Canis lupus familiaris: one gene and its partners. The protein of the gene in region 3 interacts with the protein of the main gene of each other region in a pairwise test. Links are inferred from orthologs where the notes say so. Each region holds a gene or a part of one and is shown on either strand. Other genes may lie near its edges.

What was found. The genes of interacting proteins can lie anywhere in the genome.
Region 1: the proteins of ENOPH1 (region 3) and RNF41 interact in binary tests that used the Homo sapiens proteins (3 or more experiments, as listed by UniProt). The link is inferred for Canis lupus familiaris from reciprocal best matches to the Homo sapiens genes ENOPH1 and RNF41.
Region 2: the proteins of ENOPH1 (region 3) and RPS27 interact in a two-hybrid assay, tested with the Homo sapiens proteins (2 studies listed by BioGRID and IntAct). The link is inferred for Canis lupus familiaris from reciprocal best matches to the Homo sapiens genes ENOPH1 and RPS27.

The regions. Positions count from the first base shown.
Region 1 is NC_049231.1:895,330-899,449, reverse strand, and holds the start of RNF41 (E3 ubiquitin-protein ligase NRDP1), read left to right. Parts: upstream 1-1,320; 5' UTR 1,321-1,518; intron 1,519-1,546; exon of another isoform or gene 1,547-1,684; intron 1,685-3,871; 5' UTR 3,872-4,056; intron 4,057-4,120. UniProt on the Homo sapiens protein: Acts as E3 ubiquitin-protein ligase and regulates the degradation of target proteins. Polyubiquitinates MYD88. Negatively regulates MYD88-dependent production of pro-inflammatory cytokines.
Region 2 is NC_049228.1:43,135,522-43,138,585, reverse strand, and holds RPS27 (40S ribosomal protein S27), read left to right. Parts: upstream 1-1,370; 5' UTR 1,371-1,403; coding exon 1,404-1,409; intron 1,410-1,687; coding exon 1,688-1,796; intron 1,797-1,963; coding exon 1,964-2,074; intron 2,075-2,478; coding exon 2,479-2,507; 3' UTR 2,508-2,564; downstream 2,565-3,064. Other genes in the region: NUP210L (nuclear pore membrane glycoprotein 210-like), read right to left, coding at 2,938-3,041.
Region 3 is NC_049253.1:33,562,876-33,566,375, reverse strand, and holds part of ENOPH1 (enolase-phosphatase E1), read left to right. Parts: intron 1-1,193; coding exon 1,194-1,396; intron 1,397-3,500. UniProt on the Homo sapiens protein: Bifunctional enzyme that catalyzes the enolization of 2,3-diketo-5-methylthiopentyl-1-phosphate (DK-MTP-1-P) into the intermediate 2-hydroxy-3-keto-5-methylthiopentenyl-1-phosphate (HK-MTPenyl-1-P), which is then dephosphorylated to form the acireductone 1,2-dihydroxy-3-keto-5-methylthiopentene (DHK-MTPene).

The DNA.
Region 1 (4,120 bases), on a different chromosome or scaffold from region 3:
TCCATGCACCGGGAGCCCGACGTGGGATTCGATCCCGGGACTCCAGGATCGCGCCCTGGGCCAAAGGCAGGCGCCAAACCGCTGCGCCACCAGGGATCCCTCTTTTTCTTTTTTAGTGAAGATTTTATTTATTCATGAGAGGCAGAGGCACAGGCAGAGGGAGGAGCAGGCTCCAGCAGGACTCGATCCCGCGTCCCCGGGGTCACGCCCCGGACCGACGACGCTCAACCGCTGAGCCACCCAGGCGTCCCTTGGGGTCATCTTTAATGCACCCCCCCACCCAGCTTCGTAACGGTTTTGGAAAAAGCAGCCTTCACACCAGAGGCTGCCTCAGCGTTTTTGGAAGAATGGAACCCGGGGCACAAAGAACAGCATTTGCCTTAGTCCCTCTCCTCTTCCTAATGCACTTATCTACCTAGAGCCCAGGGTCTCCCCGCCCCCGGAGGAGTTAACAGAGGAGGCCCTTTGGGACTTGTCAGAACATCAACAGAACACTCCAGCTCGGTAGGGTTGTGTATAAGCCAATTACACATACACAAACCACAACCATTTGTTTAGCGAATATCCATAACAAATACTATCTAATATCAGATTAGCCTAGCAGGTCATGTCATTGTAATGTCTTGGCTTGATTAATTCCTTACCGTCCGGAGCGCTTTAGGCTCGGCCTGACTTTCCTCGGGTCCCAGGTTCTCTCCTGCCCACGCTCCCAATTACCGTGTTGTGTCCCTAGGAAGAGGGACATCCTATCGCCCCTCCCCTTGGGTGTTTCAGGGAACTCTGCGTCTAGGAGCAAGGCAGCCACCCGGTGGGCACCCCAGATCAGAGCTCTGCGGCGAGCCGCTCCCTCGTCCTCCACCCAGTGGTCGCCCAGTAGACTACACTATCCTCTCCCGCGACTATGAATCACTGGGTCGGGAGGCTCCGGGACGGAGGCCACCGCTCTGGAAACAGCAGACGGCCGGCCCCGCAGCAGGCCAGCCCCCGCCGCGACCTCGCACCCGGCCAACCCCAGGAGAGCGGGCTAGACGCTGCTCCACCGCCCGGTCCAGCCCCCCTGGGAGTCCGCATCGGGCTCCGCCCCCACACTGGCGCTGGGAAGCACCGAGTCCTCCCTCCCACATGGCTACAGAGTCCGCGTCGGGATCATAAACATTTTCGGCGGAGAGAGAAGGCCCGGCCAGGCTCCCCGCCTCCTCGTTGGTCGCTCGCGGCCTCTAGTCCAGATCCAACTTGGGCGAGGAGGCGAGGCTTGGTGACGAGCTTCCGCCGGGATGCGCAGCAGCGGCGGGCGGGGCCTGGTGACGAACTTCCGCCGGGTTACGTAGCAGCGGTGGGCGGGGCGAGGGGCCCTCCGCGCACGGCGGCGAGTGGCTGGGACCCTCCCTCCTCTTCCCCTTCCCCTTCCCCTCCCAGGATAGGCCGAGGCCGGGACCGGCACCGGCGCTCTCCCGCGGCCGCCGCGGCCTCCGCTCCAGCCGGGCCGGGGTGCGGACGGTCCAGACCGCTTCCAGGGCGGTGCGTACTGCGCCTGCGCCGGCTCCCGCCTACGAGGCTGTGGGACGGGAGGGGGAGATGTCCCGCGGGGGTTGGGACGGGGGCTCGAGATACCGGAGGTCGGGACAAGGGACGGGAGCAGAGATGAGAAATGGAGGAAGGGAGCGGGAATAGGGAGGAGTCGGAGGTGAGGAAGGGGCGCTGGAGGCTGCTTTGGAGTAGGGGAGGCGGGTGCGGGAGGGGGCCTGGCCGACGGGAGGACCGGGAGGAGGGGACCTGGGGCTACAACGTGGTGTTTAAATGGCAGTGACGGCGGGCTGGGAGGGGAGGGGACGTTGGGGGGTAGCCTGGGCAGGGGCGGTGGAACCTGAGCCCCCGCCCTCGCCGCGCGGAGCTTGGCTCCTCTCCCGTGCCTGGTCCTTGGCAGCCTTGTCTTCCTCCATTCCTTCCCCCGCCCCCCCGCCCCCCTCCTTGAAGGAATCTTACATTCCTTACATCCCTTCCTTGGCTTTGCAACCGGGCCCTTTTCGCAGGCTTCACACACCAGAGAGCCTGCCCTAACCCAGCACTCTGCGAAACTGGGGAAGGGGGAGGGGGCTGACGGAGGAGCAGAAAGCCGAGAGAGGTGAGAGTGTTTGCCCAAGGGACTGGGCTGCGATGGTGGTGGTCCTGTACAGGTGGTTTTAGGCAAGAAGTCGATAGTGTCGCTGGCTGATAGTTTTCCCCCAGATGGGAATGGGGTAGACTAGTGGACAGGAATCTGAGGGATGTGATGATGTTACTACTCTGTGTGTCCAGCCAGACTTTGTGTCTGGGGCTGGTTCTTGGTCATTGAAAAGGAACAAGCTGCTTTCAAGCATTTCCTCACTAGCCTCCAGTATTCTAAATTTATTTTGCATTCTATTGTTACAAATGCCTTACCTGAAACACAGCTGTATTCAGTATGTCTTCACACTTATTATGTCTTTGATTTTCCAGGACGACATGTAAGGTAGATAAAGGCAGGTATCTTTCCTACTTGTCAGGTGAAGACATTGAAAACTACAGAAGAGATACTGACTTGTTTAAAGGCCTTGCAGTTGGCAGAGCTGGGACCAGAACCCAGGTCTCCTAACTCCTGGTCCTCCTCTTAGTTGAAAACTCCTGTTTTCTTCTGGCTAAGGGAGCATTCCAGCATGGGCAAGATTTGCTTGCTGAGTCTGGAGCTTGTCACTAGAAGACTGAGCAGAGCCACCAACAGTGGTTCCTGGAAGCATTTTGTGAAGTACAGGTGCATATGCCAGGCTGTTGGGAAATAGGGTGTTGTCAAAATGAGGGCAGCATTACACTCCTCTTGTGTTATGGGTGAGGGAGAAACAACTTCCTCCCTACCCCCCAAAGAGAAAGTGTGTCCGACATTACACCTTTATCTCTCTGGTTTGAAAATACCACACTAAATGTGTTTGGCTGATGAGCATAGTAAACTAATGAGCATGAGTACCAGACTCAGAAGAAGAAATGGTCTCAGTTTTATGCATAAAAATTATCATCATCCTTTTGCTTTGTAACACAGCCCTTAATCTGTTGATGGCCATATGATGGGGAGGAAGGGAGTTTGAACAGTTACTATTCTCCCGTGTAGTAGTATTGAGTAGACCTCACAGCACACTTCATCTGTATTGAGTAGACCTCACAGCACACTTCATCTGAAGCCTGTCCCCCTTTACTTGGTCTCATTCTCTTAGCAATGAGAGTCTAATCTTCCTAATCATACCTCTAGTCTTCCTAGTCGCCCACTCAGGAGTAATTTCCCATTTCATTACCTCTTCCTCTTCTTTTTTAGAGCCTGATCCTGTCAGGAATATTTTCAGACTTGGAAACTAGATTCATACCTGTATGAACATTCTTGAGTATCTTCTTATGAAATAGTATTTTTCAGGCGGAGGGTAGGATTAGAATTCTTTTTACATGATTTCGGTAATTTTTGTGAAAGCCTTTGGGAAACATTAAAGCATTCTACTCTGCGTGTAAGCTTTCGTTGATCTCTGCATTGTACAGCCACAGATCTGGAATCATTGACATTCCTTGTGGTTGTGTGCGCTGAATACGAGAATCTTCCTCTGTCTCAAACAACTCTTTTTTACCTTTTTTCTTGTCCCTTTCTCTGCCTGTCTCAGCTATGTTTGAATCTCCTGGATTGTGTGTGTGAGTCTGAGATTCCTTAGCCAGTGATCTCCATCCTTAGAAGGCAGTCTTGTGTCCCCAGCTCTGAAACGTGTTGCCCTTAATGAAATCGTCTCTTCAACCAGTCGCCAGATCCATGTCTGTCTAGTCTCACTGCCCGGTGGAGGTAGTTCCCCTGACTCACCTTTTTCTTCCTTGTTCCTATTAATAGAGTGCTCCTGATTGTGACATCACATCCATCCCCTTGGCGATGGAGCTTGTCACTAGGAAGGAAGACTCGGTCGGACAATAGCCAACAAGATGGGTTACTGGGAGCGTCTCCTGAGTGACACTGAGTGGAGGCCTCAGGGGGTTGGAGCCTTGTGAACAGGGAACCTACCCCCCAACACTTGGAAGGTAAAGAGCCTTGTTTCAGAATCCCATTCCAAGCTTCAGGTCTCATCTCAGACTATCTGGGTTC
Region 2 (3,064 bases), on a different chromosome or scaffold from region 3:
AGATATTTAACCGACTGAGCCACTCAGGGACCCATGGTTTCATTCTTTGGATGAGGTATGGATCTTTAACATAGCCCCGAGGCCGCCCTCTTGGGACCACATGAAAGGTTTGTGAAAAGGCAAGGAAAAAGCTTAAGTGGAAAACATGGCTATAAAGAAACAAGTTTATCTTTGCTTTTTGGGAAAAAAAAAAAAAAACTGTTCAAACTATTTGCTTTTCTAACAGTGGGTCAGAATTGTCCTCATGTAGAGCGTACTGGTACTACACTTCCCTCATCTGGTCACGTTCGCGCCGGCGCTTGCCCCTTCTCAGACACCACCACTGAACCCACTTTGTCCATTCTCTCACCTCCCACCATGTCTTCAAGCTGTATCACAAATCTTGAGTTTTCGCTATTTCTCCTCACTAGCCAAAGTGTCCTTTATTCTTCAACTTTCATTAATTCTGACAATAACCCAGCAATTCTTCTTTTTTTTTTTTTCCATTTTGCTTGGAACTGGACTCCATCCCCAGAGTGTGGTGCGTGTGGTGCCCACCCCTCCAAACGGTACCGATGCTGGGGTACAATAGCTGTTCCTGAACCCGGCCCCGGACGCTCTGCCTTTCACTCGGAGCTCCGGCAACTATGCCTCCCCTCCGTCTGGCCCTGGGTTTTGTCCGTCAACCCACACAGTGCTTCTGTCCAGACTCCGGCCCCTCAGAGATCCCTCTTCCCAGTGCCGCTGTCACTCTGGAAGTTCGACTCTGGCCGCGGGGCGGGTGTTTGCACCCGACACTCCACGCCCCTGACCCGAGTTCACACGCCTCTGCTTGCATTCCCAGACGCCGTCGAGAAGTCTTCGGTCCTCTGGTGACAAAGGGACCTTCTAGACGCTGGGCCCGACTGTACAAGACGTGGCTCCGGTCCCGGTTTGCTTTCTCCTCGCCCTTTCCAAGTGTGTCGGTGCGGATGTACAATGTCCGGCCGCCACAGCCGCCCAGGGCGAGCACTACGCCAGCGTCTGATGTCATCGTCACTTAGAGGAAAACCACTGGATAAAACAAAACAGCCGCTGACCTCGCAGCAAGCTGGGGAAGCGGGGAAATAGGCGGGCCTTCTTTTCCCGTGTTTACACTTCGGGGTGCTGACTGGGCAAAGTAAACCCACGGAAAAACAGCAAAGGAAGCGGAGAGGTCCCAGGCAGGGCGGGGCGCGCCTGTTCGTCAGCGTACCCTACGGACGCGCTCCCACGGTCGCGGCGCAGCAGCCCGTCCAAAGGCGCTGGTTTCTGCCACAGGCGGCGCGCGGACTTCGGCATGGCGGCCGAACGCGCGCGCGCGTCACTTCCGGCGGACGGCGGATATAAGCGGCAGGATTTCCGCTTTCGCTCCTTTCCGGCGGTGACGACCTCCCCACGAGAACATGCCCGTGAGTTCCTCCGCCCGGGTCTCGGCGGAGCCCTCGCTTCCCGCGCGCGCGCGTGCTCCTCCGCCGGGTGCGGGCCGTGGGGGCCGGCCGCGGACCGCGGGCGGCCGGGGGCGGGCGGCGGGCGGCCCGGGGCGGGGATAAGATGGCGGCCCCGCTGCGGACGCCGAGCGGTGCGGGCTGTTGCTGCCGCTGCTATTGCTTCTTGCTCCTGTTCCTCCTCCTCCCCACTCTACTGCCCCGGGCCGTTGCTGCTCTGACCACACCTTGTGCCCCCGTAGCTTGCGAAGGATCTCCTGCACCCGTCCCCGGAAGAGGAGAAGAGGAAGCACAAGAAGAAGCGCCTGGTGCAGAGCCCCAACTCCTACTTCATGGACGTTAAGTGCCCGGGTGAGGGGCGCCGCCAGGGGGGAACGACGCGGGAGGGGGGGGGAGGGGGAGGGGAGGGTCCCGGGGCGGGGGTGAGGAGAGCGGCGGGTTCCCAGCGGGCTCCAGCGAGGAGGGCCTGAAAAGGCCTGAAAGGTCCTCACTCCCCGCTTCCTGACGTCTCTTCCCAGGATGCTACAAAATCACCACCGTCTTCAGCCACGCACAGACGGTAGTTCTGTGTGTCGGCTGTTCTACTGTCCTCTGCCAGCCCACGGGAGGAAAAGCAAGGCTTACAGAAGGTGAGCTGCTGAGCGAACGTCGTCGTTGGGGCTTGAATCTTGGAGCGGGGGGGGGGGGGGTGTCGTGTGTCCTCAGACCGCCTCGTGCAGGCTGTTGGATTGTAAAGTCCGCCGGCCACCCTCCCGCAAGAGGATTGCCAGAAACCACACATTCCTTAGATCCAAAACAAACCTAAAGCTGTACCTGGGTAATGATGAAAGGGGCTTCATATGAGGGAGCGCGAGGGCTATAAACGGCTGAAGTGGTAGCTATAAGTTTTTTTTTTTTTTTTTTTGGTAGCTATAAGTTTTGAGGAAAGTAAAGATGTAGTTTTCCTGTGGATGGATTAGCAGCCACGCTCGTTTCTTGGGGGGTGGCAGGATAAGTAGGCTGCTATCAATCTCTGAACCGTTTTTTCTTCCAGGATGCTCCTTCAGGCGGAAGCAGCACTAAAAGCTCCCTGAATCAAGATGAGTGGGACACTATCCCAATAAACAGATTTTGGATACATCCTGTTTATTGTCTTTGTTTTACTGCTAGGAAGTTCCTACTCAAGTACTCAGGGGCACCCAGAAGAGTGGACTGCTAGTCATTTGGGGCAAGTAAGTGGCCAAGTACTTAAATCCATATGGAACATTGCTATCCAGCTAGGCTCACTGACTAAATCTTTGGAACTTGATAGAAACATAGGATGCTATATAAATGGGATATTTTCTTTAACTCTTACGTTTCCATTTTTTAGCCGCTAGTTGAAAACAGTCTACCACACCACTTTAGTGCCGAACACCTTAGGATCGATCCTTTATTTACAGTTTTTGGAAACCTAGTTTGGGGGCTTATAGCTCCAGTTCTTTACAGCTGAAGGGATTTGTCCAAGTGGAGTTTAGTGCCTTACACTCCACAGCCAGTGTTGTAGCCGACTCTGAGCTGGTGGGGGTTGGGGACTCAGGAAAGGCGGAGGAGAACGTGTGGTGGGGGCATAAGAACCTAGGAGTAAAAATGAGAGACAG
Region 3 (3,500 bases):
AAACTCTGGCATGCTGCTGTGCTGCTCCTCCCAGAGAAGGAAGGGAAGGGTTTTAAGGTTCTGCCACTTGCCTGGGCCCTTGCTCTGGGAGCAGTTGCGCCAACCCTGCTGTGGTTTGATGTTTATGGAGACCTGGAGTTGAGGGCCCACTCCTGGGCTCGCTGATTGCAGCTGGCTTCCCTGGTCCAATGCCTGGGAACTCTCCGATGCCACACTCAGGCGCCCTCCCTCCCCCTCTCCCCCCTTCCCAGCCCCCCTGTGATCCCGAGGATCCTGAAGCCACACTGTCCCACCTAGGATTTTGCTCCGCTTGGCACCTGAGCACCTTTCTGGCAGGGACATCCCTCACCCCGACTGCTCTGTCACTTTTCAGTGCCAGCTGCCGGAGTCTTTTCCACCTGCAGTTAATCTTCCCATATATCGCCTCGGATTCACTTCTCCACACCTCTTACCTTGCCGAAAGTGGTCTCTTTTCTATGTGTAGAGTTGCAGCTATTCTTTCCTTAGAACTCTGGTTGAGTTTGCAGGTGTTCAGAATGATTTAATAGCTATCTAGTTGAATTCTTGGGACCAGACGAAACTAAGATCTACTCCTCTGCCATCTTTGGCATAAACTGATTTGACATTTTCTTTGTTTATTCCTCAGTTCATTATAGGACAGAGAAAATGACCAGATTTAATTAAAGTCCTGGTTTGTTGATCCTAGTAAGTGAATCGACACACTGGGTCTTACTATATCATTTTATCATTGTATGCTGTCTCTTCTCATGTACAACATGCCTATTTATTTATTTTAACTTATTTATGATAGTCACACAGAGAGAGATGAGAGAGAGACAGAGACACAGGCAGAGGGAGAAGCAGGCTCCATGCACCGGGAGCCCAACGGGGGACTCGATCCCGGGTCACCAGGATTGCGCCCTGGGCCAAAGGCAGGCGCCAAACCGCTGCGCCACCCAGGGATCCCTGCCTCTCCATTTAAATTTCAGCTATAACAATATAGGAAAAGCAAAGTAATTTATTAATTATAAGTCACTTTCTTTTAGGAAGCATTCATATCAGCCCCCCAAAATGTAAGTAACAGGGCTAGATGTTAATGATAGTTGGAGAAAGTTGATCGGCTGGGTTTTCAGATCTTAAGTGATCTTTATAAAAAACAAGTAAACAAATATCGTGTTGTTTGTGACTTAAAGGCTGAAGAGGATTCCCACCTGGATGGGGCTGTTCCCATCCCTGCCGCATCTGGGAATGGAGCAGATGACCTGCCGCAGATGATCCAGGCTGTGGTGGATAATGTGTGCTGGCAGATGTCTTTGGACCGAAAGACCACAGCACTGAAACAGCTGCAGGGCCACATGTGGAGGGCAGCATTCGCAGCTGGACGCATGAAAGCAGAGTATGTAGCTGCTCAAGTAACTCTAAACATTCCACCAGCCCTGAAACCAAATACATTTTTCCACTGGCTCGCTCTCTCCAATGTTGTTTGTGTGATTAGTAAAATAGATAAAATCAACATTCTTTTTATTTTAATAAGCAGGTGTTTGTTTTTTTTTTTCAAAGCCAGGATAAAGCGTTCCACCCAGCTAAGCTCCCCAGAGCAGCGTGCCTGGCTTTGTGGGGTGGATGAGGACTTTTAGCCCGGTTTAAAACAGCTACCTAGAAAATGGCGACTTCTTTGAGCTTGGTCATATTTGATCTTTTTTTTTTTTTTAAGATTTTATTTATTTATTCATAGAGATGCAGAGAGAGAGAGAGAGAGAGAGAGAGAGGCAGAGACACAGGCAGAGGGAGAAGCAGGCTCCATGCGGGGAGCCCGACATGGGACTCGATCCAGGGTCTCCAGATCACGCCCTGGGCTGCAGGCGGCGCTAAACCGCTGCGCCACCGGGGCTGCCCATATTTGATCTTTAATAGCCAAGTGACAGCACTGTTCAGCTGTTTCTCAGAACTGTCAGATTACCTGCTTTCTGCTCTGCTGCAGAAGTAAGAATGCTTTGAAATTATTTACGTGTCCTTTTAGGGTTACTCAAAATGTCAGGGGTATCACTGTCCTGTGCTGTTACAGCAACTTCCACAGACCCTCTGACTCTTGGTTGTGGTGTTCCTGGGAGCCCTCCTGTTGAAGGAAACTCATGAGTCCTGTATTGCTAAGGAATTTTTTTGTTAAGATTTTATTTTTAAGTGGTCTCTACACCTAACATGGGGGTCAAATTTACAACCCTGAGATTAAAAGTTGTATCCTCTACTGACTGAGCCAGTCAGGTGCCCTGCTAAGAATTTTTTTTTTTAAGATTTTATTTATTTATTCATGAGAGACACACAGAGAGAGAGAGAGAGAGAGAGAGAGAGAGACAGGCAGAGGGAGAAGCAGGCTCCATGCAGGGAGCCTGATGTGGGACTCGATCCCGGGTCTCCAGGATCATGCCCTGGGCTGAAGGGGGTGCTAAACCGCTGAGCCACCTAGGCTGCCCGGAAATTCTTTTTTTTTTTTTTTTTGCCCAGAAATTCTTTTTTTTTTTTTTTAAACTTTTTATTTTTTTTTTATTATTATTTTTTAATTTATTTATGATAGTCACAGAGAGAGAGAGAGGTAGAGACATAGGCAGAGGGAGAAGCAGGCTCCATGCACCGGGAGCCCGATGTGGGATTCGATCCCGGGTCTCCAGGATCGCGCCCTGGGCCAAAGGCAGGCGCCAAACCGCTGCGCCACACAGGGATCCCTCAGAAATTCTTAATAAGACAGTGCCACTAAGTATTTTAAGCCATTGCCTGATGTACACCCTAAGATTCAAGACTACTTTTAGTTGCTGCATTTCTTTTCCTGTCAAATGAGATGCCATTCCTTTATGTACTTTACAAGGGGCTTCCTTTTTAATATATATACATATATATATTTTTTAAGATTTTATTTATTTATTAGAGAGAGATTGCGAGGGATGCGCATGTACGAGCAGGGGGAGGGGCAAAGGGAGAGGGATAAGCCGACACCCTGCTGAACACAGAGCCTGACTCTGCAGGGCTCCATCCCAGGACTGGGTGACCTGAACTTACTGAGCTACCCACACGCCCTAGGGGGCTTCCACTTTTTAAAGGCTGCATTAGGATTTCAGGATAGGCCAGTCATCTGGTAATATCTGCTAGTTTACTTTGTAAAACACAAAAGAGTGGAGGCAAGAGAGGATGTTCGGACTAGTCAGTCCTTCCTTCTCTCAGACTTTCCTTAATCACAAAACCAGGGACTTCTAAGCCCTGCATTGGAACAAAAAAATCTGCACAGTTCAACGTGGAAGAATCCTGTCTGTGATTGCAGAAAACGCACAGAGTAACCCACAGGTGTATGTGCTGGTTTCAAACTAGTTGATTTCTTTCCTTCAATTAGTGGAATATATTAAGCTATTTTAGCCAGTAGGAGACTTTGCTGACATTTTCCAGTTCATCTGTTAAAGATGACTGGTTCCACATTCCAAGTTCCTTGTGCTTCTCTTTTCACCTGTTTTGCG